Arabidopsis thaliana: one gene and its partners. Each later gene encodes a partner of the first gene's protein in a complex. Each region holds a gene or a part of one and is shown on either strand. Other genes may lie near its edges.

Region 1 (7,556 bases):
GCGGGATAATTGAATGAACAAAAGCAAAAGCATTGTAACTGCTGTTTCTGCTTTAGATCCTACAATTTTGTTTCCCTTTGAGCAAAAACAGTATTTTTTGTTTGACCCCAAACATGGTTAGTAGTACAAGCATCTCTTATTCACGACAAGTGTTTCATAACATTGGTTATGATAAGCTGCTCAATAGTGTTGAGCTCTGAGAATGAAGACGAAGTACAAGAATCAGATGAACTGTCCTGGGCAATCTCCCCATTAGCCGCAACGATGGTGCGGGAATAACAGCTGAATTCATCGATATAGCTAAGACTCTGTTTTGTGCTCGCTTCACCAGCCAAGACATTGTGATCTTCAACCTCCATCCAACCCTCTGAGTCTTGTCTGCTATAAACTTGGATCAAAGCCTCTCCATCTGAATGTGTCTCATTCAAGGCGTGTGAAACATTCGTCACGAGCATATACGTATCCTTGTCGTTGGTTAACCCTCTAAGAGTAGAAGTGATCACTGTAAGAGGATATGTCCGCTGGTGCACGACTCGATTCACCGGTTTACCCGATTCAGAAGTCACCTCCACGATCCGTTCGGTCTTCACTCTCTGCTCAACCCTCTTGTATGTTCCGTTTTTCTCGAACCTCACCAAGCTGTCAACCTTGAACATGCTCTTGACCATGGTGGTCAGATTACCTTTACTTGATCTAACCCAGCCATCATATTCACTACTTACCTCTGCTTCAACCTTAAACGACCCATCAAGCTGTTCAAGCTGTTCTTGTCTCATCATATGCCGACTCGGGCTATCATAAAGTCTAGACCCAGCTTCAACATTCGAAGACCCGTGATCTAACCAGAGGTGCAAATTAGCGTCCACAAGCCAGTATGATATCCCATCGTTGACCCCAAACGCAAACTCATGAGACTTTCCATCTAAAAGCAACCCGAGAAATGGCGTCAAGTCCATGTCATAGGAAGGTAGATTGAAGGCACCGATTGCTACAACTGGTTCCCAGAACAAGGGATTGATTCCACCAGTAAAGATCACCGGAAATGGCACCTCGGATCCCACGTATCTCCCATCTATCTTAACAAAAACTTCCCGGTATGCACCATTGCCACGCCCGGTTGTTAGATTGTTCGTTCTGATATAAGAATTTGGCGGGTTTGAATACCAGAACTCATCGTTTCCATGGAACGATACATATAGTTCCAGCACAATCTGACGAGTGTTGGACGGAATTTGAATTCCTTTTGAGTAAGTTTCTCTGGGGTTCTCGATCATGAACCAGAACCCTCTGTTCCCTCCGTCACATACCGGAATTATCAAATCCGCAGGGGTTTGATCTCTTTTCTGGGAATCCACAAACCCTAATCTGTTACTAATCTTCAAATTTGACGCAATAGGATTGAATTCGTAGAAGATGAGGGTGACATTGATATGATAGATGCCTGTGTAAACATCGTTGACTATGTTCTCAAGCATCATTGTGACATTTAAATCGGATCTCATAAAGAGCGAGGAATACCTAGAGACGTCTTTCCGAACATTCCAGAAGATTCCGGATGGACTCGGCTCCGCCGTACTGGTGCGAAGTAGCTCCACTCCGCCGAGCCACAAGCCGGAGATACGATCGTACTGATCGCCACTCGAGGCGGCGCGTAGGTCAAGTACAACATAAGACCACGGCGGCGATATGCAGCTGGAAGGGGGAGTGTATGGAGTGGTAAAAGGAGGTCTGTTGATGGTGTTGGCGAATGAATGGCGGAAGAGGACATGCGAGCATGACGGCGTTAGCTGATCGGACGGTAGGGGCCGCCTGAGCTCCTCGTACTCCTGAGGCTCGACCGGTGACCGGAGACAAGTCGAAGCCGATCTAAGGAATCGATCCGGCGAGGAAGGACGAGAAACGGCGGTAGCAGTGAGAAAAGCAAGTGTGAAGAAGAACTTAACGGCGCCGTTTTGATTTTCTGGCATGATAGCTTCTGTGTTTTTGATTATCCGAGCTCGCCGATGCGAACTTCAATGGAGACTGGAGAGAGAGAAGGGACGTAATTAAACACCAAAGCGTTTTTATATTTCGGAGAATCAACTACGTGTCGTTTGACATCCTAAATTGGCAGATAGTAGAAAGGAAATGTTGAGACTGGAGAGTTTGATAGTAACAGTGTGGGGACCAGCGACGGTAACGGAATTCGAAATTTATTTTAGCGTCACGTGTGGTTACTTATAATCTGTGCACGTGTCAAAATAAGAGAGGGCTACTAGTGACACTTTCGTCACTGTCACTTAATTTTAGCCTTTCTCCTGACATGCTTACTCTCTCCTCTCCCGCTACGATCACTGCGAGTTTTCCCTTCTTAAGCTCTCATGGCGGCTTCATAAATCTATATACAGACAAATTTACACATAAAGAAACGCATTAAAAAAACTATTTACTCAGATTCAGCTTCTTCTCCACGCAAAGACTCGCTTCTCTTTTTTTCTCTTCCTGAGTTTGGATTTTTTTTGCTTGAGCTGAATCATGTTTTATTCTCACCAGCTTCTAGCTCGAAAAGCTCCGTTGGGTCAGATATGGTGAGTCAAATTCTATCAGTGAAACGTTTTCCGATTATCACGATGATTTTGCAACCTCTGTTTCTGTATCTGTTTTTGAAATCGGCTGGGAACTTCCTTGTCGCGATCAAGCACTTGTCACTGCTTCAAATCGTCACTGCGATTTCCATTGATTGATCTGTATATGGATTATTAGTGAATGCATAGAGTAAAATCTCTAAACTCTGTTTTTGATTTTTCTTCTTCTTAAGGATGGCCGCTACATTGCACGCGAAGATCAACCGGAAGAAACTAGATAAGCTCGATATCATTCAAATCTGGTGAGAGGAGATGAGATAGTGTTCGCCCTTTTTTTGGGTTTTACTCTGCTTCGATTTTTTTGGTGTTCCTGCCATGAAAACGAACGTTGATTTTTCCATTTTTGTTGGTTACTTTACTCTTACAGCGAAGAGATTTTGAATCCGTCGGTTCCGATGGCTCTTAGACTCTCCGGGATTCTTATGGGTATGCTTTTGCTCATCGGATTTTTTTTTTCCTCAGTTCTTCACATTCTGGGTTCTTCAATGTTTTGTTTATTCGATAGGTGGTGTTGTGATTGTTTATGAGAGGAAAGTGAAGCTCCTATTCGGTAATTTTCTGATTCAAATCATTTTTGAATTTTGGGATTTAAGTTTACACTCTCCTCTTTTTCTGATGAGACTCTGCTCTTTTTCTGGGTTTTATTTTCCGTCAATATTTCAGATGATGTTAATCGCTTTCTGGTAATCAAATCTTCTCCGATCCTCTTCTATTTTTTGTTTCCCCGTCAAAATCATATTCACGTACCTCGATTTCTGGATTTTCACATGTGTTTATTTTTCTCAGGTTGAAATTAATGGAGCTTGGCGCACAAAATCTGTTCCGGATCCCACTTTACTACCTAAAGGAAAAACCCATGCCAGGTAATGTCACATCTTCTTCCTTGAAGGAGCTTCTCATGCCATTGAAGGATTCTGAAGGATCAAATCGTAAACATAAGAACATTGTCGTGAAGAATAATAGAAATGATTGGCGTGTTGGATTTTTTTGTTTGCAGGAAAGAGGCTGTTACATTGCCTGAGAACGAAGAAGCTGATTTTGGAGATTTTGAACAGACTCGTAATGTTCCTAAATTTGGCAATTACATGGATTTTCAGCAGACTTTTATTTCCATGGTAATCAACTCAATTCCCTGTGAATTCTAGATTGAATTGGGTATTTATTTTCTTTCTACGTCTCAATATTCATCAATTCGTAGAATTGTGGCTTGAACTCTCCAACCTAAAACAGTGTATAAGATATAGAAAAATCAGTAGCCATCATTCTTCATTGCCCATAAAAGTGGAGTAAATAAGTTGGCGCATAAAGGGCACCTAAGACTTGGTCTAACTCAAGCATGTGGTTTATGAGTAGCCTCATTTTAGTCTACAGGTGAATATTTCAAAGGAAAATCTTTTTGGAACTTGAAGCATATGAACTCAAACCAAAATCATTTGAACATCGCTTAAGATTTTGACGTGTAACCTATGGGCTGTGGAAATGGACAATGCACAAAAGATGCAACTGTTAATGTGAATTGATCATAGTAGTGTTCATCTCCTTGTATACCAATGATTACTCGTGTGCATCTTCAGTTGATCTAATTCATTGCGTGGTTTTATCTCTTTGCAGCGGTTAGATGAATCCCATGTTAACAATAACCCCGAGCCAGAAGATCTTGGACAGCAGTTCCATCAAGGTGAGTATCTTGAGACAAAACCTTTGTGAGTATACGACATGTTAATAACTTACATTTATCCGCTTGTCAATTTCTGTAACATTCTCAGCTGATGCCGAGAATATCACACTCTTTGAGTATCATGGTTCATTCCAGACCAACAATGAAACATATGATCGTTTTGAAAGGTGAGCTTTCAATCCCACTATCTATCTTCAGTCTTTAATTCCCAGATTTTAAACCTTCTCGAATAACTGTTGAAGGTAGAAGTTGTAGCGTTTCACTATTTCTGTATTTTCTTTCATCCACCTTTCAGCAAAAAGCTGGTGATGATTTGTTCTATTCTATTCTGCTTTTTAATGGCATCTCAGATTTGACATCGAAGGAGATGATGAAACACAGATGAACTCCAATCCAAGAGAAGGCGCTGAAATACCTACAACTCTCATCCCATCACCACCTCGTCATCATGACATTCCCGAAGGTAGATAGTTATGTCACTCTTCCCTTCTATAATCGTGACATCTGGTTATTGTATGGGGATATGAATTTTTGAGTCAAAGATGAAATTGTTTTCAATTTTTAAATAGTGTTAAGTTTATGAAGCCAATAACAATGACTTGGGCGAGTCTCTTGTATAATAATCATGTATGTGACCTGGGAATGTATTTTTGTTGAAGCTTCTGAATGATATGAACACTGAGCTTCGTGAACAGAGCAGAACAAATTTACTAATCTTTAGCCATCTGCAGGAGTCAACCCCACAAGCCCTCAGCGCCAGGAGCAACAGGAGAATCGTAGGGACGGATTTGCTGAGCAGATGGAGGAACAAAACATACCGGACAAAGAGGTATTTTCACTTACTAGGAATACCCTCATCTAGTAGAAAATACATTGAATTGGGTTTTGTTCTGCATGCAGGAACACGATAGACCACAACCAGCGAAAAAGAGAGCAAGAAAGACAGCTACTTCAGCGATGGATTATGAGCAAACTATTATCGCTGGTCATGTTTACCAGTCATGGCTCCAGGATACTTCTGACATTCTCTGTAGGGGGGAAAAGAGAAAGGTTCAAATTTTTGAACTCATTGGCCTTTATTGTATTAACTGGTGCTCATGTTGGCCTTACATCTGACATCTTTTTGTAGGTTCGAGGAACTATCCGGCCAGACATGGAAAGTTTCAAACGTGCGAATATGCCACCTACACAACTCTTTGAAAAGGACAGTTCTTACCCGCCTCAGCTTTACCAGCTTTGGTCAAAGAATACTCAAGTTCTTCAAACCTCATCATCTGGTCTCTCTCTATCCATAACTGTTGGTTTTTTGTTTTCTCCTTGTTGAAACGAATCTGACATTTGGAAATGTCGATACAGAATCTCGACATCCTGATCTCCGTGCGGAACAATCTCCAGGGTTTGTTCAGGAGAGAATGCATAACCACCATCAAACAGACCATGTAAGTCGCGGAAGCATATTCTTTCCTGAAAGTTTAGTATCAATAAGAGAAAGGCACATTTCATATTCTCTCTAACAGAATGTGGATTTATGCAGCATGAGCGCAGTGACACAAGCTCCCAAAATCTTGATAGTCCCGCAGAAATACTCCGGACAGTTCGTACTGGGAAAGGTGCTTCAGTAGAAAGCATGATGGCTGGATCTCGAGCAAGCCCTGAAACTATTAACCGCCAGGCTGCTGATATTAATGTCACGCCATTCTATTCTGGTTAAAAGCTTCTCTATTTTATCCAGTCTTCAGATCATAGCTTGGTATTGTGGAATATTTAGCGTAAGTTATTTGATTTTCATGGGAATTACAGGAGATGATGTGAGATCCATGCCTAGTACACCATCCGCACGTGGAGCAGCTTCAATTAACAACATAGAGATCAGCTCTAAAAGGTTAAGAACACATCTAAGTTTCTCTGATACTAAAACCAATAGTAACTTACAAACAAGTTTTCCATTGGAAGACGATCACTAAATCTTCTTCTGCTTACCAAATCAGTCGCATGCCCAATAGAAAAAGACCAAATTCCTCACCAAGAAGAGGACTCGAACCAGTGGCGGAAGAGAGACCGTGGGAGCACCGTGAATATGAGTTTGAGTTTTCAATGTTACCTGAAAAACGCTTCACAGCCGATAAAGGTAGAAGTTTTTAATTGTCTTTTGATCCTATACAACTTTCAAAAACACCATCTTACAAACCTTAACGTGGCTTCTTTTTCACAGAAATACTATTTGAAACTGCATCTACACAGACTCAAAAGCCAGTGTGCAATCAATCAGACGAGATGATAACAGATAGCATCAAAAGGTAAGAGATTCAAAATTATCTGCCAAATCTATATACTGAGTAACAATGATGAGATCTATAAACGAAACACAGTCACCTGAAGACACACTTTGAAACACCTGGAGCTCCTCAAGTGGAATCTCTTAACAAGCTCGCTGTTGGAATGGACAGAAACGCTGCAGCTAAACTCTTCTTCCAATCCTGTGGTACTAACTTCTACTTCAACTTAATTTCACTTTCTTTGAGCATAAAAAAACCTGACTATGATTATTGTTTATATGTCCAGTGTTAGCTACTCGCGGAGTCATCAAGGTAAACCAAGCAGAGCCTTATGGGGACATTCTCATTGCAAGAGGACCCAACATGTAAGGTTTGATTTCTAAATTATAAAAGATTCTGGTGAACCGATTATCCATAGTTGTTTTGCTTTTCATATTCTAGCAGAGAGAGTTCGTAGACTTTTTTAAGTTATAAAGAGCAAGCGTTCTTTACCCAAATTCCTCTGTTTGGTCCTTTTGTTATATGGTTATTAGTACCTCATACATCATCACATCCTAGCTTTGTCCGAAAACATCTGAAACTAATTTTTACATTATTCTATAATTTAAGTATTTTACTCGCATATATTGAGTCTTCTTAGAAGATGTATTGAACAGAGCATAAACAAAACAATAGTTTAATATATACTCCGTTGACAAAGAAAATGGTGGCAGTCACGTAATAAGCCGCAACTGCCCCCATTTCATACAATACATGTATAATCTTCATAATTAGTCGCTCACACGTTTCATACAATTTGTCAAATTTCTCAAAAAATTAAACTAATTACACAATCAAATACCAGCCTCTATATGTTTCTATATATACGCATATTTCTTACCCCTGAATCACACATCAAGAAGAAGAAGAAGTTTAAGAAGCAGAGTGTATAACAAGTAACATGGACTCAAGAGCCTTACCCTTCTCCGTTCTCGTCAT
Region 2 (5,715 bases), on another chromosome or scaffold:
CCATCCTCATATCGAACTGCATACCTTTTATTAGAATCAGGTAATCAAGATTGAGAGCCACATTCAGTCTCAGAATCATAAACACCATGAGATACAGAATCAAACCGCGATGGAGAACCAAATCCCAGAAGAGATTACAAGTCATGATGAGAACTGTAGCCAAAGACCAAGTTTATGCAATGGTCCTGTCATGCCCCTTAGAGAATGATGACTGATGAGTACGATAGATTCCACCTATAATTTATAATATTATTTCTAGATTTCCATAGTCTGCTAAGATATACAAAAGAAGAACAATTGTAGAATAGGTAGGTCGTCTTTAGATTTTGAAGAAGGTTTTGCTATAACATTTATGAGGTTATCTATGTATACTCCGTTAATTTATGTGATCGATATCTTTGATTCCATCGGTACACATGTTGAGGCTTGAGAGCATCTACACATGTTGAGGCTTGAGAGCATCTAGCTCCATAATTCACTCCATCACAACACGTGCTAGTCTTTCATTTCCAGAATCATAGAGAATCTCAAAAACTTGTTTTTTTACAACATTGTCAAATTTGAACTCAAGTGAAGTATTGGCTAATGATGGAATTTAGACGTTTGTCCATCTCTTAGGGTGAAGCTTTACTTGTACACAATGTAATAAAACCAGGGCTCAAAAAATTAAGAATTGACTACTTCCTCGTCTAGCTTCAATGTTAATAATATACATAAGTAAGTTTATTAAGCATTGTTTATTCACGTTTGAACCTTAGAAAAAAGGGCAGGCATCAACTTCAAAGCGATATCTCCGTATGGTCGGTCCTGTTGCATATCTATAAGTCCCCTAGACTTCAAAACCTGCAAATTCAAAAACAACTCGTCTAAGCTCGAGGCACTACAGAGATACAAAGAAAAACATATGTACAGAGAATCACTCACCAGTGTCTCGAAGAACATTCGAGCAGCTAGCTTCCGTGTCTTTCCTGCCAAGATCTCGCTCAAACTTAGATCTCCAGAAGGATGGCTTGATGTGGTGGGACTACTTGAAGAACGTTGTTTAAGATACTGAGCCAAGGCTCTGCAATGTTCAATGAATGTTACAGGTTAGTAGAGAAACAGTAGGCTCTTAAATGAAATCCACATGGTTTTAGGAATATATATACCTTGCTCTCCCTGTCAAAGCAGCAGAATCTTGACTAGCTGGTGTTCCTACTGGGGAATTGCCACCTACCTCCAGGAAATAAAGTTCCTGTATGGCACATGCAAATGGTATTGCTATCAAGGTTAGCAACGCACCAAGAATGGTAAAAACAAAACACGCGAACATGCGAGAACAAACCTCGTCAGTCCTTTCAGAAACAGGTGAAAGCCCCAAATTTCTTTGGCCAGGCAAGTCCTCTGGAACTGTGGAAGTTGAAGGCTCTGTTCTATAAGATTCTGTCTCCCAATTTCCAGACTGAGTGGTGAAGTCATCGGTTCTAAAAGGTGAAGATCTTGGAGGTGGTGACGGCATGTACACCGGGAAACCACCATCCCTTAAATGTTCTATTCCCATGTCATCGTTATCAAATGTCCGAGGAGATTGTGCTTCTGTTGCTACAGACTCTGCATGCGCGGGTCGAGGACCTGCAGAGTCTAGGACATCTTCAGTTTGCTGCGCTGGAGATAGCTGAACTGTACTGTCTGGATTAGTAGAATCTGGAATTGGAGAGACCGGATTAATTTCTACTTCAGCTTCTCGAGTAGGAGATACAGATGCAGGTTCTGGTAAAGTTTCATCAGAAACAGCAAGATGTGGCTTTGAAGCTACATAGTCCTTTTCAAAGACATTGCGTAAATCATCTGAGAAGCCTGCAGGTTGACACATACAGGCAATAATCTTTCTTCAAAAACAAAGGGAAAAAGAAGGCAAAACTGTCGAAAATAAAATAATAATCAAAGAAAGTTACCAGTAAACAAGGGCTCATTGAAATTTTGATCCTTCCTTGACTGGTTATTCATTCTCCAAAACTTTAATTTGGATGAAGGCATCTTCTTTCTCTTACGTAGAGTATCACTAGGATCCTTAAGCCTTTCACTTATGTTCCTGTTCAAACTATTTGATCAGTACGGAACAGCTAATGAAATAATCAAAGCCACATGAAGCAACGGAAAAGTTATTACTTGTTGGTTAATACTGTGACACCATCAAAGTTCTTCCTCTTCCTTGCCCTTCTTTGTGGTTGGGGAGGAGGAGATGGCTGAAGCACCAGTTGAGGTGATGGATGCACTTAACATAAAGAAAAAAGTGTTTTAAATAGATAATAAGAGAGAGAATGTAGTGGTTAAGCTTCAAATTATCAGACTATGTTGCTAGCTCACCAAAATCTGCACGTTCTTCCTCAGAACCAGCAGCAGAACCTGGAGATCCTGAGCGAAGCTCAAACGCAGAATGCCTTCCAGAATTTAACATTTCTTCATCAATACTAGGGATAGTGGGTTCCTTCTCATTCAAAGTTTCATCCAATGACTCAGTGCGTTCAACTCTGACATCCTGTTGTTGTGCAGCAAATGATGGATGGGACGTGGGGCTTAGATCATGTGCAGCGTCACGCATTCTCTCAATCTCGGGAACAGTTCCAGGAGAAGTGGCATCGTTTCTCTCGGAATTGGGAATGCGCTCTTCTGTCAAGTTACTTTGTCTAGGATCCTGGACTTCAGTGAATTCCTCTGTGACGTTACGAGGACTATAGGTTCCAGTATCGAAAGCAATATTGGAGTCTCTTGGCTCATTGTCTGGTCCTGTCTCATGAGCCGTTTCAACATCAATTTCTCCGGTATGCCTACTCACAGGTTCTGTTGATTGGCTGCTCAAAGCAAAAAAATATGTAACAACATTATTAAAGAAGATCAACTAAACAGATAAGGAAGATTAAGAGCAAGGTGTAGTAAAGGAAATCAAAACTCTATGAAGAGCCTCACTCGACATCCATCGGGATAGATTCTGAGATGATGTCCTGTAAGAAAGGCATACAAACTTTCATTCAATAACAAGTGCTCGGAGACATGGGAAACAAGAAGTCAGAATCAACTTCAAAGTCATAAGAAGCAAGCAGTAATCTCACCTCGTCGAATGTTACAGCAACATAAGGATCAATGCCAGTAGGAATTTGATCTGAAAAATAAGCATCAACATCATAAACACCTCAAAATCATGGTATGCTGCATCTAGAACCAAGGAAAAAAAACACAGACAAAAGGTACCTGTGAGAGTGATATCTTCCTCACTCCGAGTATGATTATCGAATTCCCTAGAATTCACAAGAAAAGAATGTTAAAGATGAGTCAGGCTTTAGAACAGATAAAAACTCAAATAAAAGCAAGAAAGAAGAATACATGTCGAGAGTGTCATCTTCCAAGTCGAACTCGTCCAGATTTAGTGCTTGAGGCAAAGTAACAGACTCAGGCGGGGCCTGTCTGGCATCCTCAGGCAAGTTAACTTGAGTAGAAACGAAAGCCTTAGCTACCCAAGTATTAAGGAGATTCCAGTCATTGTAAAGATAATCCACTTTCTTTGAATATATTCGCACTACCCCAACTAGAAGGTGACTTGACGTTCTCAATGCCAATGGTACTTCAGGAAACATTATATTATCTGCAAAGCCAATTGCAAAATTCTCGAAAAGTCAGAAACTTTATTAAAGCAGAGAATTTCAATTACTACAATGGGTTATATATAAAAAACAAAATCGGAATTTGATGAATGCCCATGTAAAAATTCGTATTGCCTTTTTGAAATTTCGAATTGGATACAATCAAAGGGGATTCAAAAAAAAAAGAAGCGAACTTTGGATCAAAAAGCGAAAATTGAAGATAGGAAAGACGAACCAACAGTGTCGGGGATGTTGATGGAGGTGTACTGAGACTTCTTGAGGCGTTGGTGCACATGAGCGGCGCACCACACCGTCCCCAATGGACCCTTTCGAGCCAAAAGCGTATGTGAATAAAACATTTTAATTCCTTCGAACAAGGAGCCCTAAAGAAGCAGAGATGGAGATACTGAAGTTGATTTGAGAGAGAAGGATTATCGAATCGAAGGTGTTACATTATTTAGAGAAACCAATCAATTTTGAATAGGAAACTGCAGAGCGAAAGAGAGAGAGACGAAGCGGTAGGGTTTTGTGTGCTTTTGGAGAGAGGAAGAAGTGTTTTTTTAGTGGAGCGGGAAAAAACATTTTGTGGCGCTAATGTTGAAATCATAGGCAAATAGACGCAATGACTTAAATACCCTTTTCTTATTGGATCCGAGTTTTTTGAAATTTGCCAAACAAAACAACTTGGGCCACTAAACCCAATGGCCAACTTTTCGGATTAATGGGCCTAAGGGGTACATTTGGAAATTCGCGTATATGAGAGTCTAGGGTTTTCTTCATATTTAGGTTTCTCTATTTCTTTCAGACGCTGGGTTCTTGCTTTTGCTGTTTGTTCTCTTGAGTGGAAGAAAGTTGCAGCCACTAAATCAGATCCGACAATGGTAAAGTTTTCTTCGCCTCTCAGTTTTATTATTCTCAGGAGGATTATTGAAGCTAAATATTATTTGTTTGATTATCTGTTCTCACGACTAGGATTTTAGTAAAGTTTGCATGATTGAGCTGAAAGTAATCAATCTCTTATTGTGGGTTTCTTGTTTGGTTACTGATAATCTAGTAGATTAGAGTCTTCCTCGTAATTGACCCATTGGTTTAAGTTTCATCTTGAAATGTATGAAGTGTTCATCATGCAGTAACATTTGGGTCGAAGTCTTGTTGTGTGTTCTGTTTTGTTTTGTATTGATTGAAAATGGATGTTGGTTTGGATAATCTGCAGCCGAAGCAAATCCATGAGATCAAGGACTTCCTTTTGACGGCGAGAAGGAAGGATGCAAGGTCTGTGAAGATCAAGAGAAGCAAGGACATTGTGAAGTTCAAGGTCAGGTGCTCAAGGTACCTCTACACACTATGTGTCTTCGACCAAGAGAAGGCCGATAAGTTGAAGCAGTCTCTTCCTCCAGGTTCACTATCTCTCTCTCTCTCTCTCTGTGACTCAGCCCAAACATTACACACTTGAAACCTCTTATCTCATAACATTTGTTAGATTGGATAGATGTTCCTAGCTTTGAGTAATTCATCACTTGAAAGTTCTAGTGTCATAATATTGTTGGATTTTGGTTTTTGAATTCGAATAGTCTTGTGGTTAATCTACTTTAATTCAGACACTTTTAATTGGCATGTTTAGGTCACAAGTTATTTTTGGTTGGTCCATGAACGCATGCGTCTATCTCTATCTAAGTTGAATTTGCCAATTGTTTATTTCAGGTTTGAGTGTGCAAGACCTTTGAAGATCTTATGAAATCAGGATCTATCATGGTTTTATATACCCTTGTCTTAGATGATTTTGTTTTTTCCCTTTCTGCTGTCTTTTGAATGACTATGATTCAGACTTCCGTTGAGTTTCTTTCTTATAACTTCAAGACTAAATTATGAGTTGGATTTGTATTTTTTTTTGCTATCAACTTGGTTAGTAATATATATGGCCCCAACAGTTTGGAGTTTTGGATAGTTGTGCTTTGAGAAGAAAGCAGACACCACAGATTTCATAAAATGTTCATTGCTATGTGATGCCAAACAAACTACAGAAAAAGTTACTGAAAAAAGAGTAAAACGTCGTAATGGAGATGATTGTAACGTCATCATTTTGGAGAAAAAGCAGTCG
Region 3 (6,839 bases), about 15 Mb from region 1:
CAAAGACAATTACTTAGGGTTTAATTGGTTTTCCCTTTGTCACTCGCAAACGCTGTATTTGCGGGTGCTAGCGATTGTTAGCGATTGACATCAATCATAGAAACCGCTAGATACTGCTTTACACCGTTCAAAATCGCCAGATTTCAAAAGCTCATTCCCGCAAGCATTTGCGGTTGCGGGCGGTAGCAGTTAGGTTATTTTTTTTTTTTAATTAATTAAAATAATTATGTCTTCTACCCAAACCCTATATATCTTATTCTTATTAAAAAAAACCTAATCAATATTTAACGGAAGATTCCAAAGATCCCAAAATCAGATTTCTAAGTGATGTTCAAAAAGAAAATATTCTTAAGAATATTAACGACCAGTTTGGGAAAAATTTGAGTTGGAGATGTGTTAAAAATCGTTTGGATATCTTGAAGAAACTTTATCATATGTATAGAGGCAATCCGGAAAACCCGCGAGTTCAACGTTATTTATAGTTTATCACACTACTTGATGCAATTTTTGGTATGTACCAAATGCATAAAGTATTAAACTTTTTCTTACAAAATTTATTTATTTTAAATTTAATGTTTTATTTATGGTTTTAATTATTAAGCATGTTTAATTTTTCTAATATTATCAATTTATCATAATAATATATTGTATTTTTCTTTCTTTTAATAGTAATATATTATATTTATTTTGGTTTTTTATTTAATTACTATCACACTTGCTGGTTTACCGGTCATAAAACTCCCGAAAACGCACCCATTATCAAACGCTTAACCAGTCGTTTAAAAGGCTTGATAACGCTTAAAACCGCAACCGGCCGTTTCCGCAAACTTGCGCAACCGTAACCGCACCCGCTGTATTTAAACCAGTCAGGCCCTTATATAAGAATTGATCAAATTATTGGGCTTTTAAGAGTTAGGTCGAGAGACTTTTTATTGGGCATAATTTTATTCTATTCAGGCCCATTCGCAACGTAATGCCACGTCGGACCAATGGTCTATGAGATGTCGCTGTCACTTAAACGCCACGTAGACTTTTAACCGGACACGTGTTATACAAAATGACTGTGCGCAGTTATAAACGTTTAAACGCTCTTAACGATGCGTGAAGGAGTGAGACAGCTCACATTTCCATCAAACTAGTCGTTATCTTTTAGTGTGGTAGTATTATATTATTTATTTACTTCTTTTTCTGTAGAATTTAGAAAAGGTAAATATAAATATGAAGTCAATAATCAGCATTAGCATATTTCAATTCAATTGTTATCTTCGTTGATTAATTTTTAACAGCAATGTTTTTTTTTTTCCTATTCAAAAAATTAACTTGTATATATATATATATATTTTGTTTATCCAAAATTAATTAAATAAATTATAAATTATCTAATACTATCAGACTATCACTCCCTCCAAAATTATTTTTTCTATTCTTATGGAAAAATAGGAAATTGCACAATTAAAAAGGAGAAGGTTTTTTTTTTTTTTTTTTGATCAACAGAGAAGGAAGTATCAATTAAAAAAAAATGCATAATTAAGAAGGTGTGATTTTCTGGTCACCGTCTAATTAGGAAAATTTAAATTTATGACACCTAATTCAAAACATTTTCAATTTCCAAAACTACATAACTTGTCAATAGACTTTAAAAAGTTTAATTACTCTAAAACGACTTGAAAATAAACAGATTAAGCGTGACTTAACAAGAAAAAAAAAAACTAAAATTAAAATTAAAAGAAAAAAAGTTAATCGGTTTAGTAAGAAGCTTGTTCCGTACACCGCTTGACCGTTTCCTTCTCCTCAATTTCTTCTCTCCCTCGCTTCACTATTTTACGAAGTTGCTCGCTCTCTCTCTCTCTCTCGCTGCTCTCTTAAAAAAAACTAACCTTTGTCTAAAACCCAGAATCTGGTAAACCTTCACACTCAAAAATGTTTTACTCGCATTGTCTAGTATCGAGAAAAGGACCTTTAGGAGCTATTTGGGTCGCTGCCTATTTCTTCAAAAAGCTTAAGAAATCTCAAGTCAAAGCTACTCATATTCCTTCTTCCGTTGGTTTGTCTTTCTCCTCCTTCACATTCTTCTTCTTCTTCTCTCTGTTCTAGTTAGAGATTTTTCTCCGGCGATTGGAAAAGTGATTGTTTGAGTGAAACTTTGCAGCTTTAGTGGATTTTTTAGCTGGAATAGAATTTTAGGGTTTCGTTTGTATCCATTGGCAGCGTTAATTAGAGATCACTGTTGATTTTGTTGGGGTCTTTCAATGTTACTTGTTTATGTTCATCAGTTGTTTGACAAAATGCCTGAGTGAACCTCAGAGATTGAGTTCAGTGATTTATTTTAAGTCTGAATAGTATCGAATCCTTAGTAGTATCAATCTGCCTTTTCTCATATAAACTTAAATCTAAACATTTCATCTTACTCACTTAGTATCAGAAAGCTGCTGGTCAACGCTTAGTTTGCTTGATCTCTAAAGTACTTGTATCCTCGAGAAAGATGGACTTTTTTTCTACAACATTTGACATTTTCAGTATTTTTTACTTTAATGACGTTTCTGATGTGTAATTCTTCGGGGGTTTTTTTTTTGGATGCACAGATCAAATCTTGCAAAAAGAGTTAGATGCGTTGACATACAGAGTTTTGGCGTATCTTCTTCTTGGTGTTGTAAGGATATATTCCAAGAAGGTTGACTTTTTGTTCGATGATTGCAATAAAGCGTTGATCGGTGTAAAGGAGTTTGTGGCTAAGGAAAGGAACAGAGAAAAGACAGGTGTATCATTGCCTGCATCTATCGAGTGTTTTTCCATTGCTTTACCTGAGAGATTTGAACTAGATGCTTTTGATCTTGGGGTTCTGGAGGATTTTCATGGGTATGCTTGTTATTTCTATATAGAATGTATTTCGCAGAGATTCTTTCATAGTCTCAACTCTTTTGTTTCTTCTTTCTCAGGGGAAATGTTAAGCCGCATGAAGATATTACACTTAAAGGTATCTTATCACTAAAGTCGTTTAAAGGGAATCTCATCACTGTTCATTTACTAATACCACTGCACTGCGATAAAACAGATGGAAGTCAGGAAACAGAGCGCATGGACATGTATTCGATGGAAAGGGTATGGTTTCTCACCTTATAGATTACTGAGTGTGTAACTGTTAGGTTCTAAGCTACTACAGCGTATATTGACATTGTTTCTTCGTTCCATTCCTTTTAATTCTGGTAATTTCGTGAATCTATATATGTAATAAAGATAATGCTTTGTGGAGTTGCAGTTTGACATGGAAGAGGACCTTCTGTTTACGTTTCATGAGACTTTCTCTACCAATCATAATGAAAATAAACAGTGAGTCTGATATTTTTGGTTCCATACATGTAATCGGCAAACACAATCCTAATTTTCTGTTTGTTGTTGCAGTGAGAGTTTTGCTCATGATATGGAATTGGATGCAGAAAATGTCAGAGATACCACTGAAGAAGCATCCGTCAGAGTCGTTGAAGCGGAACCACTGGATTCTAATGAACCATCCAGAGATCATCAAAATGCATCTAGGCATAGAGAGGATCCAGAATCAGATGACATTCTTCTGGAACCGCAAATGTCCGAAGATATCCGAATAGCTCAAGAAGAAGATACAGTTAGAGAAACCATATGTACCATTGTGCAGAGACTAGTGGATTCTCATGAATCCTCAGGAGATAATCTACACAGAGATGGTCACACAGAGAATTTAGAATCGGAGAAAACCTCGAAGAAAACAAGTTGCGAAGAGATGCAGCATGACAGGTCCCTCCCATCTGAATGCGGAATACCTGAAGCAATTCATGGGATTGAGGATCAACCTTCTGGTGCCACAAGAATTAATGGGGAGAAGGAGATCCCTGAGATGAGTACTCTAGAAAAACCAGAACCAGTATCTGTGACTGGTTCCAGAGACTTGCAAGAAGGCGTAGAAAAATGTCGAGACCATAATGAAGCGGAAATGGCAGACTTTGAATTGTTTCATGGGTCTCATAAAGAGCAATCTGAAACTTCTGAAGTGAATCTCCATGGTTCCGAGAAAGGTTTTCTCTCTGACATGACTGTTTCTAAAGACCCTAGTAGCGAATTTAATGCAACAGATACTCCAGTTACTGTCACTCCCAAAACACCTTCCCGGTTGAAAATTTCTGAAGGTGCACACTTTATTGAAATATGAGCTTAATATACTTTTAGTTACGTTTTTAGCGTGTTAACCTATACTTTGAATTACAGGGGGAACAAGTCCACAGTTCTCGATCATCCCTACGCCGGCTGCGAAGGAGTCTTCTCGAGTTTCACGGAAAAGAAAATGTCTGATAGATGATGAAGTGATAATTCCGAACAAGTAAGAGAACTATTTGTAACCTGGATTAGATTCGTCTGCAGAGTTCCGTACAAGTATGTAATATTTGGTTCTTTTGTTATTGTAGAGTTATGAAGGAAATGATAGAGGACTCAAGTAAATTGCTTGCAAAACGGAGAAACGTACCTCATACTGACTGTCCTGAGAGGAGAACCAAACGTTTTGCCAATCCTTTTCGAAGTTTTTTGGAACCTTTGATTCAGTGTAAGTAAAACCTGGTAATCCGCTGTATATCGTATTGTATTGTTGTGTTTGCTGATTGTTGTAATCCCGCAGATGGTTCTTCGGACCTCCAGTCGCTTTTTTGTCAACCCATCAAGCTTAAAAACTGGGCAACCACAGGAACCCCTAAAGATACTAAAATCGCTAGACATAAGGAAAAGTCTTCTCTTGACACTGTCAGATCTCCTGGGGTTATTTTATCTTCAGATCAGACTGAGAATACTCAAGAAATTATGGAGACTCCTCAGGCTGCTGCTCTCGCTGGGCTGAAAGTGACAGCCGGAAATAGTAACGTGGTTTCGGTTGAGATGGGAGCAAGTTCTACAACTTCTGGAACTGCTCATCAAACAGAAAATGCCGCAGAGACACCTGTGAAGCCTTCAGTTATTGCTCCAGAAACACCCGTGAGGACATCAGAGCAAACAGTGATTGCTCCAGAAACACCAGTAGTCTCTGAGCAAGTAGAGATTGCACCTGAAACGCCGGTGAGGGAATCAATGTCGAAAAGATTTTTCAAGGACCCTGGGACCTGTTATAAAAAATCCAGACCTGCAAGTCCCTTCACTTCCTTTGAGGAGCACCCGTCTGTGTATTATGTGGAAAATAGAGATCTTGATACGATTTTAATGAACGATGAGGTACTGCTGTGTTGCATCCTTCTGATAGTAGTTAAAAAGGTTTTTATAGTTCTTTTAGCCTATCTTATTTAATTGCAAGACTGAGCATTTTTTTTTTTTGTTTCTGCTTCAGCAGGTGAATGCAGATGAAAGACAGGACTTACAACAAGGTAAAACGCATTCTGAATTTTTGTAGGTCTCATGAGTGCTCAGGCTTTTATTGATTTAGTAGACAAGAATCTATTAAGTTTCTGAAATTATATGTAGCTTTGAGTGAAAGTTTCAACCATCGAAATATACGCAACTTATTTGGAATCCAAATCTTATCAAATTGTTCTTGTTGCATGTCGATCATCGTGCTGCGTCCTTACCATGTATATTTTGATTTGCAGAGACATGGTCCTCAAGAACAAGGTAACAGACTCACACTTTCGGTATCAACAGCTTCGATTCGCTTACATTCAGATGATTATCCTGGTTTTCTGACGCTGGATTGTACAGGAATGTGGCGAAATTCTTGGAAAAGACGTTTTTGGAACAGAGGGAAAGAGAAGAAGAAGAGAAGGTGAGTTTGTTGCAACTGTGTAGAGGAAGAACTCAGAAGGAAAGCGCAAGACTCTTCTACGAGACTTTGGTATTTCTCAATTTTTTTACAAGCACATGTCTTCACCGTTTTATCTGTCTCCATGAAAGACTTAAGATGGAGAAACTCTCTGAATTTGATTTTGCAGGTGTTGAAGACCAAAGGATACGTGGAAGTGAAGCAAAATCATCCATATAGTGATGTTTTTCTCATGCGTGTTTCCAGACCACAAAAAGCTTGTTGAAAAATGGATATTTTCTTCACTTAAGATTTTCCTCAGATTTCTTCAGTTAGGTTTCAGATTAATGTTGTTAGCTTTTAGTATCTTCTAACAAAATAGCTATTTTTAGTTTTTCTTTTAAGTTAATTTTTAGTAAGAATAATTGACGATCTAAAGTATATGTGTCTTATCAAGTTTTTAAGTTTTTAAAGAGTCCTTAGCCATGCTATAGATTGTTTTAACGACTAGCAGAATTGTTAACATGTGATAACGGGTGCCAGAGTTTCGTTAAGGACTGATAACGCTACATCTATTTTGATCAACGAATTTATATATTTCAAACGTTTATAAATATTTAGTTCACTAGATTTTAACTCGCGGTATATTGCGGGATGATTTTTTTTTTTAAAGTAGTATATATCAAAATTTGCAAAATATATGTATTTATAAAATATTGATTCAAACATATTCATCATATAACACCATTTCAAAATCCAAAATATAATTTATTCTGTAATTTTTTTATCCGTCTCGTAATTTGTTTTTTAAAAATATTAATTTCTAAAATTTAATAATTATTTATTATATATAAAAGTATACAAGTTGTATTATTCTCTAAGTCATTTATATTTTATAGTTTAACTTTATATATAATAACATTATACCACATAACATTTTTGGTTTTATACAATTTTTTCTAAAAAAATAATTTTGATATGTCTAATATTGGTGGTCTTAAAAAATAATAAATTAAAAATTTAACCCGTATTAAAGCGGTAGATTAATGATATTTTAAGTTTTTATTAATATTGAATCAAAAATCTATCCCTT
Region 4 (7,656 bases), 3.7 Mb from region 1:
TCTTATTCTTTCTGGTGACTTGTGATATCTTAACTGATGAGCGTTTCCTGTTATTGAGCCATTTTTTCCTCCTACTATGTTTATTTAGGTCAGTGGCCATTGCGGATGCATGGATCAAAAGGGAACATATAGTCATGTCAATATTATCTATTTCTGATTATTCCTAGTTGATTTTGAGCATATTAAAATCAAAAGAAATGACCATTTTAGTTGTTGAAGTTGGAGATTGTTCCTAGTGGATTCTAAATTTTATCACATTTCCTCTCTTTTGTTGACGTAGGTGGTACAGATGATTCTAAGGTCTCAATACCTGCAACGGTTGTTCTGCGCTACATGTTCAGTCCAGCTGAGTTGATGGTAGGTCTTGTCCAATAGTTAATATGAGAAATGTTGCTATTTTTAAGAGTAGCTGATATAGCTTTGAGCATTTACTCTGTTTGCAGGCTGATGAGGATCTGGTTGCTGAGTTAGAGGAAGACGTGAAAGAGGAGAGTTTGAAGCATGGACCGTTCGACTCAGTGAAGGTAATAATATGATTTCTTTTTATCTTAAGCTGGTGGTCTTGCTTGCTGCATATAGCTTTGTGGAAAACTTGAGATTATTTTGGAGTACCAATCGAATCTCTTCTTTACAGGTATGTGAGCATCATCCACAGGGTGTTGTTCTTGTAAGATTCAAGGATCGGAGAGATGCACAGAAATGTATAGAAGCAATGAACGGTCGATGGTACAAACTCTCCTGAGTCATCATTTCCGCCTAATTGCCATTAGAGTCGGTATTGAGTCTGATGCTTACATGTACTTCTTTCTGTTTCTGGATGAATGCAGGTATGCAAAGAGACAGATACATGCGAGCCTCGATGATGGATCAGTGAACCATGCTACAGTTAGGGATTTTGATTTGGAAGCGGAACGGTTAGATCAGTTTGCAGCTGAACTGGAAGCTGCTGAGTAAAAAACAAAAGCACAATGATCTAAAGCTGGGAAGATTTGGATTATTATTCTGGGAAACTCAGGTTTCTGATGTAAATCACTAGGCACAGACACATCTGAATCAGACCAACGCAAACCCAGAGGACCGGTTTTATCTAGTACTAGTAGTATTACCTGTAGTGAAATTAACGAATAAGACTGCACTTGCAAGTGTATTTTGATATTCGTTGACTAAAAACCTTTACTACTATGTAATACGATTTTCTTCTAGAAATTTGAAAAATCGGAATTTAAAAGTTATGCTTCACTATATTTTTTCCTTATTTGTTAAATCATGATACTTAGCAGTTTTTGTGTGACACCATCACATGAATTTTTGTTTCTATCAATCATTTGTTTAAAATACTTTGTATTGTAGTTTGGACCTAAATTTCATACTTTTACAGCAGAATGTTGTCAGATGATCTCTAATAACAGAATCTTTATTTTTCTGTTTTTCTTATTAAAAAGTTTCGATTTTTTTCAGATTTCCCGCAATGAGGCAAAAGAAGCCGCCGAGTTGAAATATTTTGAAAAAAATGGAAAAACCCAAAATATTTTCAAGTAATAATTAAATGAAGTTAAATACTGTTGGGGCTAGTTGACGAAAACAAAAATTGTTGAAAAATGATCTAAATCTAAAGCTATGCGGGACCCGCTAATCTCTTAACCAATGAGAGAACGACGTATGTCACGGAACATGTGTTTCTTTGCCGCACCAAATCCCTCATTTAATCAAAAATCAACCAAAGATCCAAATTTCGAAACTTTTTAGTTTTTTTTGCATATCGCAATTTCCACAAATTTTACTGTTTTCCTTGGCTGTTGTTGTGTCTGAATCTCCAAGAAGAAAGAGTTGTGTCTTTAAGATTCTGCTTTTACCCAAATTGGGTGTTCTTTTTCCAAGTTTCTGAGAATTAGGGTTTCCGCGAGGACTCTGTTCAAATCGAGCTGTTTTGGACTTGTTTGAGCTTGGTCAATTCTACGGTAATTGATCTACCCTTTGCTCTCTATTCTACTTACCGAAGTAGTCTAGTGTCTCTGCTCAGTGGCAATTGCGAGACTTTGTTGTCGGTTTGAGCTATTTCGATTCTGTTGTCGAAATTTGGAAACTTTTTTTGATTCTCTATAGACGTATCTTTGGGGCTGAAGAAAGGGATTTTGTTATCTGAATAGTTTTTGAAGCTCAATTTTGTTACGGTGAAATTCTAACAAGTTGGTTCCTTTTTGTTGAATTTTTTTAGGGTTTTTTGGTATAGAGGACGAGGAATGTTTTATTCGCAGTTTATATTAGCTAAGAAAGGGCCACTTGGGACAATATGGATTGCTGCCCATTTGGAGAGGAAGCTTCGAAAGAATCAGGTCGCTGATACTGATATTGGAGTCTCCGTTGGTGAGTATTTTGCTACCTTTTGCTTTTGTGTACAATACCTCTGATTCAGGTCTCAGTTCGTTGTGCTCACTAGGGTTAGCAGAAGCTAAAGTTTCCTTCTTTTTCAGTTGTTATGTGGCTAAACAAGTTCATCTAAAATATTTCCTAATATAACTAATTTCTTTTTCTGAGCAGATTCTATTCTCTTTCCGGAAGCTCCGATTGCATTGCGATTGTCTAGTCATCTTCTGCTTGGTGTTGTGCGTATATATTCGAGAAAGGTGAATTACCTCTTTGATGATTGCAGTGAGGCATTGCTTAAGGTAAAGCAAGCTTTTCGCTCTGCTGCTGTTGACCTACCCCCTGAAGAATCTACAGCGCCGTATCACTCTATTACGTTGCCAGAGACATTTGATCTTGATGACTTTGAGCTTCCAGACAATGAGATCTTTCAGGGGTTGGTTTCTTTATGTTTTAACATTCAAACTCGTATTCCACTCTTACTCCAATTTGCATAATTTGTTTATTTGTTGCTCCTTGTTTTCCTGTCTAGCAGTAATTACGTTGATCATCATGTTAGTACAAAAGAGCAGATCACCCTTCAGGATACCATGGATGGCGTTGTATACTCAACGTCACAATTTGGATTAGATGGTCAGTGGTTGTTTCATATTTGCTTGTCTTTAGTTTGTAGATAGCTATGCCGTAGATAAGCAAAGTCATTTTAAAACTTTTGCAGAGCGATTTGGTGATGGCGACACTTCTCAAGCTGCTTTGGATCTTGATGAGGTATTTTTGTGTTTATAATAGATATTTTCTACTTTGTTCAAGTCATTTTGGAACAAGAAATAGGATAACCATATAGAAAGCTGAATATGAAGAGGTTATCTGTAGATTTCATTTGCTTTTAGATTTTGGGTTCTTTCTCTCCTCTGTTTGGGTAGACGCAGCAGCTGGAAGCTCTGATTGGTATCCAGTTGCGGAGTCCTAGACCGTGAAAAGCTTGTAATTTGAAGTGTTAGGTTGCAGTCATGTTGTAGCGTCAGGATAATGTTGATGTTTTCTTTTTCTAGTGAAGCTTTGCATATTTGCAATCAGAACTTCTCTCTTATTATTTTGGATGTGATCTTTTATCATTCCTCTCTTGTTGTGCAGGCAGTATTCCAGGACAAGGATGTTATTGGATCCGACGATGAGGGAGTTCCAGGGTCAGTTTTTGTTCATTATCTTTGGCTATATTCTTTGTAGCATAATTGCTTTTATGCTTCCCTATGGTTCCTCTCAAATTAACTATCGAAGTGTCAGCTTGATCTTCTTTTCTGGAGCTGTTCAGTACCTTTTCTATATTTTCATACCGCTACTTCAGATTGTTATCATAGATTTTAAATGCTCACATTAGGGAAGATCTCGAGTTGACTGAATGATAAAAAGCTTTGCGTTTTGGCGCTTGAATGTGTGTGTTTCAAGCTTTGTAACCATGCTTTTTAAGTTCCATGACATTCATACCTTGAGTTTGTGTTTGTTCTGTAATTGGATTGTGAATTAGAACTGCAATTCTGTGAGTCTTATCCTTCTTGGATGTGGACCTTTGGTGCATAATTTGGACGTGCAAATTATCAATCAAAAGTTTTACTTATGTAAGATATTCTATTTGTTGATAGTATTGATCACAACGCGTATCTGGATGCGGCAGCACCCGGGATAAAGGATTCGATGGAAGGAGTCTCTGAAGCCATGCCCATGGATTTTAATGAAGAGCAGGTGCGTACCATACATAATGCACGAGGGCATACCTATAGTTGCTTAATAATTGTCACCTGAGTCACAGTGCTTAATGTGATATATTTTACTTTGCATTATGTCTGAATGTACATTGCAGTTACAGACTCCAAATTTACAATTTGTTTACACAGATTTATTGGCTTACTTTTCTGGTAAGACTATTGGATAGTATTGTGAATCTCTCTTTTTGATAGGTTGAAGATCTTGCTATGAATAATGAGTTCATCGAAGATGCTCAAGCTCCTCAAACTCCTGGATTAGTTGAGGTGCCAAACTCGTCTAGTGTGAGAGAGCAGATGGCATGCGATGATCACATGGACGTAGAGGATCTGAATGCAGAAGAAGGTATAAAGTCCTCTGGGGAGCTGAATGCTAATGAGATGCCTAAACGTGGGGAAGACCTGTCTTCTGAATATAATGCCCCAGAATCAGCAGTTACTCCTGTGGAGGTAGATAAGTCACAGATAGATGAAAATGTCAACACACAAAATGAGCCGGAGGAGGAGAGGGCAGAGCATGTACATGTTACATCTCCATGTTGTTCTCACATCACCACCGAGATGGAGGATCCTGGTCAAGTAATGAATGAGGCAGGAGCTAATGTTGTACCTGATAAACCCGATGCTGTTCCTCCACTTGAAACCCCTGGAGAAGAGAACCGAGGTTTGTTGGCAAAGAAAATTGCAAACCTTATACGACATCTTAGTGCCTGCCTTATGCTTATAATTTTTATTGTTGCCAGATCATTTTGCCATTGCCACTGAGGTCAATCAGGAAACAGATTCTAGTTTACAAGGAGATGAGCAAGCGTACAGTAGACCAGATGGGCAGCTGAATAATGCACACGAAACTGATGAACAGTTGGGAAATTTGACTGGATTTACCGATTCTGATTTCCCTCCACCTGAGAAGGTATTAGCTGTACCTAACAGACAGGGGGATGGAAATGATTTCATGGTTGAATCTACACCAGATAAAGAAGACCCTGGCACATGTAATGATGATGCGGGGAATAATAACATTACTGGGAAAAAACGCACTTTTACTGAGAGCACACTAACTGCAGAAAGTTTGAACTCTGTGGAGTCAGTTGGACTGATTCAGTCAAAGAGAACTGCAGATTCTGTCCCTGATGACGATGATTTGTTGTCTTCTATCTTAGGTATCAGTTTATTTTGGATACTCTGTCTGTTCTTTTATACATTCTATTGCTCTTTGAGCTAGCTTTATGGATCAATTATCGTTGAATTTTTTTTTTTTTTCAGTTGGAAAGTCATCCTTTCTGAAGATGAGGCCTACCCCTGTGCTTGAACCAGCAACTACAAAACGGTTACGATCTGCTCCCCGCTCTACTGCCACAAAGAGGAAGGTTCTAATGGATGACCCTATGGTCTTGCATGGCGAGTATGTTTGTCTTACTGTTTTCTTATATCTGATTTTCTTATACCTTAGTTTTTTTGTTCCACTGCTCCAAGTGGACCTTTCATAGAAGTTCTTGTTTTAGCTACTTAGGTTCAAGACAGCTAGAGTCAGAAGTAAATTAATGTGAATCTTGAATTCGTTTGACTACTGATTTTTTCTTTACTGTAATTGGAGTTTGGTCTTCTTTTAAGTTTCACACCTTTAATTACCTAGGAGCGATATTTTTTTACCTTATCTCAATTTGTATTTGTTTTCTTCTGATGTTGCCTACTTTTCTGTTTAGCATTATACGTCAACAACTGACAAACACTGAAGATATACGGCGCGTGCGAAAGAAGGCACCTTGCACCGTTCCTGAAATCGTAATGCTTCAAAGGCAGGCTTTGGAGGATGGACTCTTTAAGGAGCCAATATTTACTGGTAAGTTCATGACACTAAAATGTAGACCGTTCTATACACGTTCTGTTGATTGTTCTTATAATCTGCAGTTATATAGCTAATATGTTTCACTGATTTTCAGGTATGTCAGTGGAATTAGTATCTCTGCACACTGAGCCGTATGATCTAAGAGGAATCATGATAATTGAGAATGATGACCGTCATGCTTCTGTTGGAGCGGTGGAAGATAATGAATGTTCTGTTACGGCCGTGGAAGAAAATAAAACGGAAGAAAGCTCTGATCCGCAAGCTCACCCAAATGATTGTGAGGAGCAACCTGGTACGGCTCATACTCACCCGCAGGAGGAACAAACCATAAACCAACAGGAAGAGCTGAAAGATGATAATGAGCTTGCTGAAAAATCTGACTTGGAGGTTTTGAAGGAAGGCAATGGAGCTGCTGATGAAGTAAATCTTGTAGTGATTGACGATGTCAGTCAAATACCGTCTGAGGAAAAACTCGACCGTGTAGAGGATTTACAGGTTGAAGAATCCCATGAAAACCATGATGGAGAAGGCGGGCAGGATGTTTGTGCGGATCCTAATGAAAAAAGTTGCACTGACGTTATTGAAATTGCTGAAGGCGATACAGATATCAACCCCATTTTCAATGAGATGGACTTGAAAGTTGAAGATGAACTTCCACATGAAGATGAGAAAACGGATGCATCAGCTGAAGTTAGCGAGCTTGGGAGAGACGATCAGACTCCATGCGATAACACAGTTGGGTCTACTGAAACTGGATGCCTAGAAGCTGGTGATTTGAGTAACATGGCTTTGGAAAATTGCAATGAACCTCTGGTGGAAGCGAATAGTGATGGGTTGAATCCAGAGACAGAGTCTTATAACAAATACGAACCGCATAATGAGATGTCTAATGAGGAGGCGTCTATGCAAAATGCATTAGATGGAGAGCATACTTCTCGTGATGGTCTTATGGGAGACAATGATGTAAGTTTCTTTGTTGCGTCATATCCTTATTCAAGTAAGACATGTCCCTGACTCTCTTGTTATCTTATGGTGTAGGAAATGGATACCATGGAAAATGCACATGACACAGGTTCTAAGCCTTTTCGAATTTCAATTCTTTTCTTTTCCAAATGGTCTGTATCCTCTTCATTTGATCAATGGGACTGATACTCTGGTCATCATATCCTGGTTCAAAACTGGACTCAACAAGCTTAAACTTGGAGCATAATTTGGATACGAGATGCTGCTAGTGCTATTCCCGATGATTTCTCAATGGTTCTTCTTATTAATTTCTTGCATTCGTGTCTTCAGGATTTTTGAACGTCGATGATGATGAAGTAGATGAAGATCATGAGGAGGATGACATACAATATGATGATGAAACTCGTCTTCTAGAAAACAGTGGATGGTCTTCTCGTACTAGGTCTGTACAGTTTATGACTTGCTCAGATTTTAGCTTCTATCATGTGAGAGACGTGATGTGATGGGCTTGAATTATGAAAGCTTCTGATTCTCTTTACTTTTAGGGCTGTGGCAAAGTATCTCCAGACGTTATTTGATAAAGAAACCGAGAATGGGAAGAATGTTCTTGTGGCAGACAAACTTTTAGCTGGGAAAACCCGTAAAGAAGCATCGAGAATGTTTTTCGAAACCCTGGTATGTCCATAACACAACCCTAAACTAAAAAAAAAACTCTGATCT

The links.
Region 2: SYN1 (region 1) and SYN3 share a complex: the UniProt entries of both Arabidopsis thaliana proteins name them as parts of the cohesin complex.
Region 3: SYN1 (region 1) and SYN2 share a complex: the UniProt entries of both Arabidopsis thaliana proteins name them as parts of the cohesin complex.
Region 4: SYN1 (region 1) and SYN4 share a complex: the UniProt entries of both Arabidopsis thaliana proteins name them as parts of the cohesin complex.

What each region holds. Positions count from the first base shown.
Region 1 is NC_003076.8:1,622,198-1,629,753, forward strand, and holds SYN1 (Rad21/Rec8-like family protein), read left to right. Parts: upstream 1-2,008; 5' UTR 2,009-2,127; coding exon 2,128-2,175; intron 2,176-2,365; exon of another isoform or gene 2,366-2,514; coding exon of another isoform or gene 2,515-2,532; coding exon 2,533-2,567; intron 2,568-2,797; coding exon 2,798-2,866; intron 2,867-2,991; coding exon 2,992-3,050; intron 3,051-3,129; coding exon 3,130-3,174; intron 3,175-3,287; coding exon 3,288-3,307; intron 3,308-3,410; coding exon 3,411-3,487; intron 3,488-3,621; coding exon 3,622-3,739; intron 3,740-4,235; coding exon 4,236-4,302; intron 4,303-4,390; coding exon 4,391-4,469; intron 4,470-4,652; coding exon 4,653-4,765; intron 4,766-5,033; coding exon 5,034-5,131; intron 5,132-5,202; coding exon 5,203-5,352; intron 5,353-5,431; coding exon 5,432-5,579; intron 5,580-5,658; coding exon 5,659-5,741; intron 5,742-5,836; coding exon 5,837-6,008; intron 6,009-6,102; coding exon 6,103-6,184; intron 6,185-6,290; coding exon 6,291-6,430; intron 6,431-6,514; and 7 more. Other genes in the region: EIF2 ALPHA (eukaryotic translation initiation factor 2 alpha subunit), read left to right, coding at 1-17; AT5G05480 (Peptide-N4-(N-acetyl-beta-glucosaminyl)asparagine amidase A protein), read right to left, coding at 141-1,967; MOP10 (Pollen Ole e 1 allergen and extensin family protein), read left to right, coding at 7,519-7,556. UniProt on the Arabidopsis thaliana protein: Involved in chromosome condensation, pairing and segregation during meiosis. Responsible for cohesion between replicated sister chromatids.
Region 2 is NC_003074.8:21,995,523-22,001,237, reverse strand, and holds SYN3 (Rad21/Rec8-like family protein), read right to left. Parts: upstream 4,187-5,715; 5' UTR 3,977-4,186; coding exon 3,853-3,976; intron 3,620-3,852; coding exon 3,361-3,619; intron 3,276-3,360; coding exon 3,229-3,275; intron 3,140-3,228; coding exon 3,090-3,139; intron 2,982-3,089; coding exon 2,947-2,981; intron 2,832-2,946; coding exon 2,347-2,831; intron 2,255-2,346; coding exon 2,149-2,254; intron 2,072-2,148; coding exon 1,935-2,071; intron 1,837-1,934; coding exon 1,325-1,836; intron 1,235-1,324; coding exon 1,149-1,234; intron 1,064-1,148; coding exon 925-1,063; intron 844-924; coding exon 742-843; 3' UTR 501-741; downstream 1-500. Other genes in the region: AT3G59570 (Ypt/Rab-GAP domain of gyp1p superfamily protein), read left to right, coding at 35-208; AT3G59540 (Ribosomal L38e protein family), read left to right, coding at 4,496-4,498, 4,831-5,014, 5,319-5,341. UniProt on the Arabidopsis thaliana protein: May be involved in sister chromatid cohesion during mitosis.
Region 3 is NC_003076.8:16,358,804-16,365,642, reverse strand, and holds SYN2 (Rad21/Rec8-like family protein), read left to right. Parts: upstream 1-1,764; 5' UTR 1,765-1,920; coding exon 1,921-2,044; intron 2,045-2,188; exon of another isoform or gene 2,189-2,582; coding exon 2,583-2,856; intron 2,857-2,936; coding exon 2,937-2,974; intron 2,975-3,052; coding exon 3,053-3,099; intron 3,100-3,256; coding exon 3,257-3,327; intron 3,328-3,399; coding exon 3,400-4,157; intron 4,158-4,236; coding exon 4,237-4,348; intron 4,349-4,433; coding exon 4,434-4,570; intron 4,571-4,642; coding exon 4,643-5,226; intron 5,227-5,338; coding exon 5,339-5,375; intron 5,376-5,597; coding exon 5,598-5,619; coding exon of another isoform or gene 5,620-5,623; exon of another isoform or gene 5,624-5,706; coding exon 5,707-5,839; intron 5,840-5,936; coding exon 5,937-6,032; 3' UTR 6,033-6,312; downstream 6,313-6,839. UniProt on the Arabidopsis thaliana protein: May be involved in sister chromatid cohesion during mitosis.
Region 4 is NC_003076.8:5,314,543-5,322,198, forward strand, and holds the start of SYN4 (sister chromatid cohesion 1 protein 4), read left to right. Parts: upstream 1-1,654; 5' UTR 1,655-1,958; intron 1,959-2,215; 5' UTR 2,216-2,240; coding exon 2,241-2,364; intron 2,365-2,538; coding exon 2,539-2,800; intron 2,801-2,899; coding exon 2,900-2,997; intron 2,998-3,082; coding exon 3,083-3,132; intron 3,133-3,498; coding exon 3,499-3,551; intron 3,552-4,004; coding exon 4,005-4,104; intron 4,105-4,319; coding exon 4,320-4,788; intron 4,789-4,867; coding exon 4,868-5,287; intron 5,288-5,390; coding exon 5,391-5,529; intron 5,530-5,830; coding exon 5,831-5,967; intron 5,968-6,067; coding exon 6,068-6,936; intron 6,937-7,011; coding exon 7,012-7,045; intron 7,046-7,266; coding exon 7,267-7,378; intron 7,379-7,481; coding exon 7,482-7,611; intron 7,612-7,656. Other genes in the region: ELF9 (RNA binding (RRM/RBD/RNP motifs) family protein), read left to right, coding at 281-357, 444-524, 635-726, 828-954. UniProt on the Arabidopsis thaliana protein: Involved in sister chromatid and centromere cohesion during mitosis.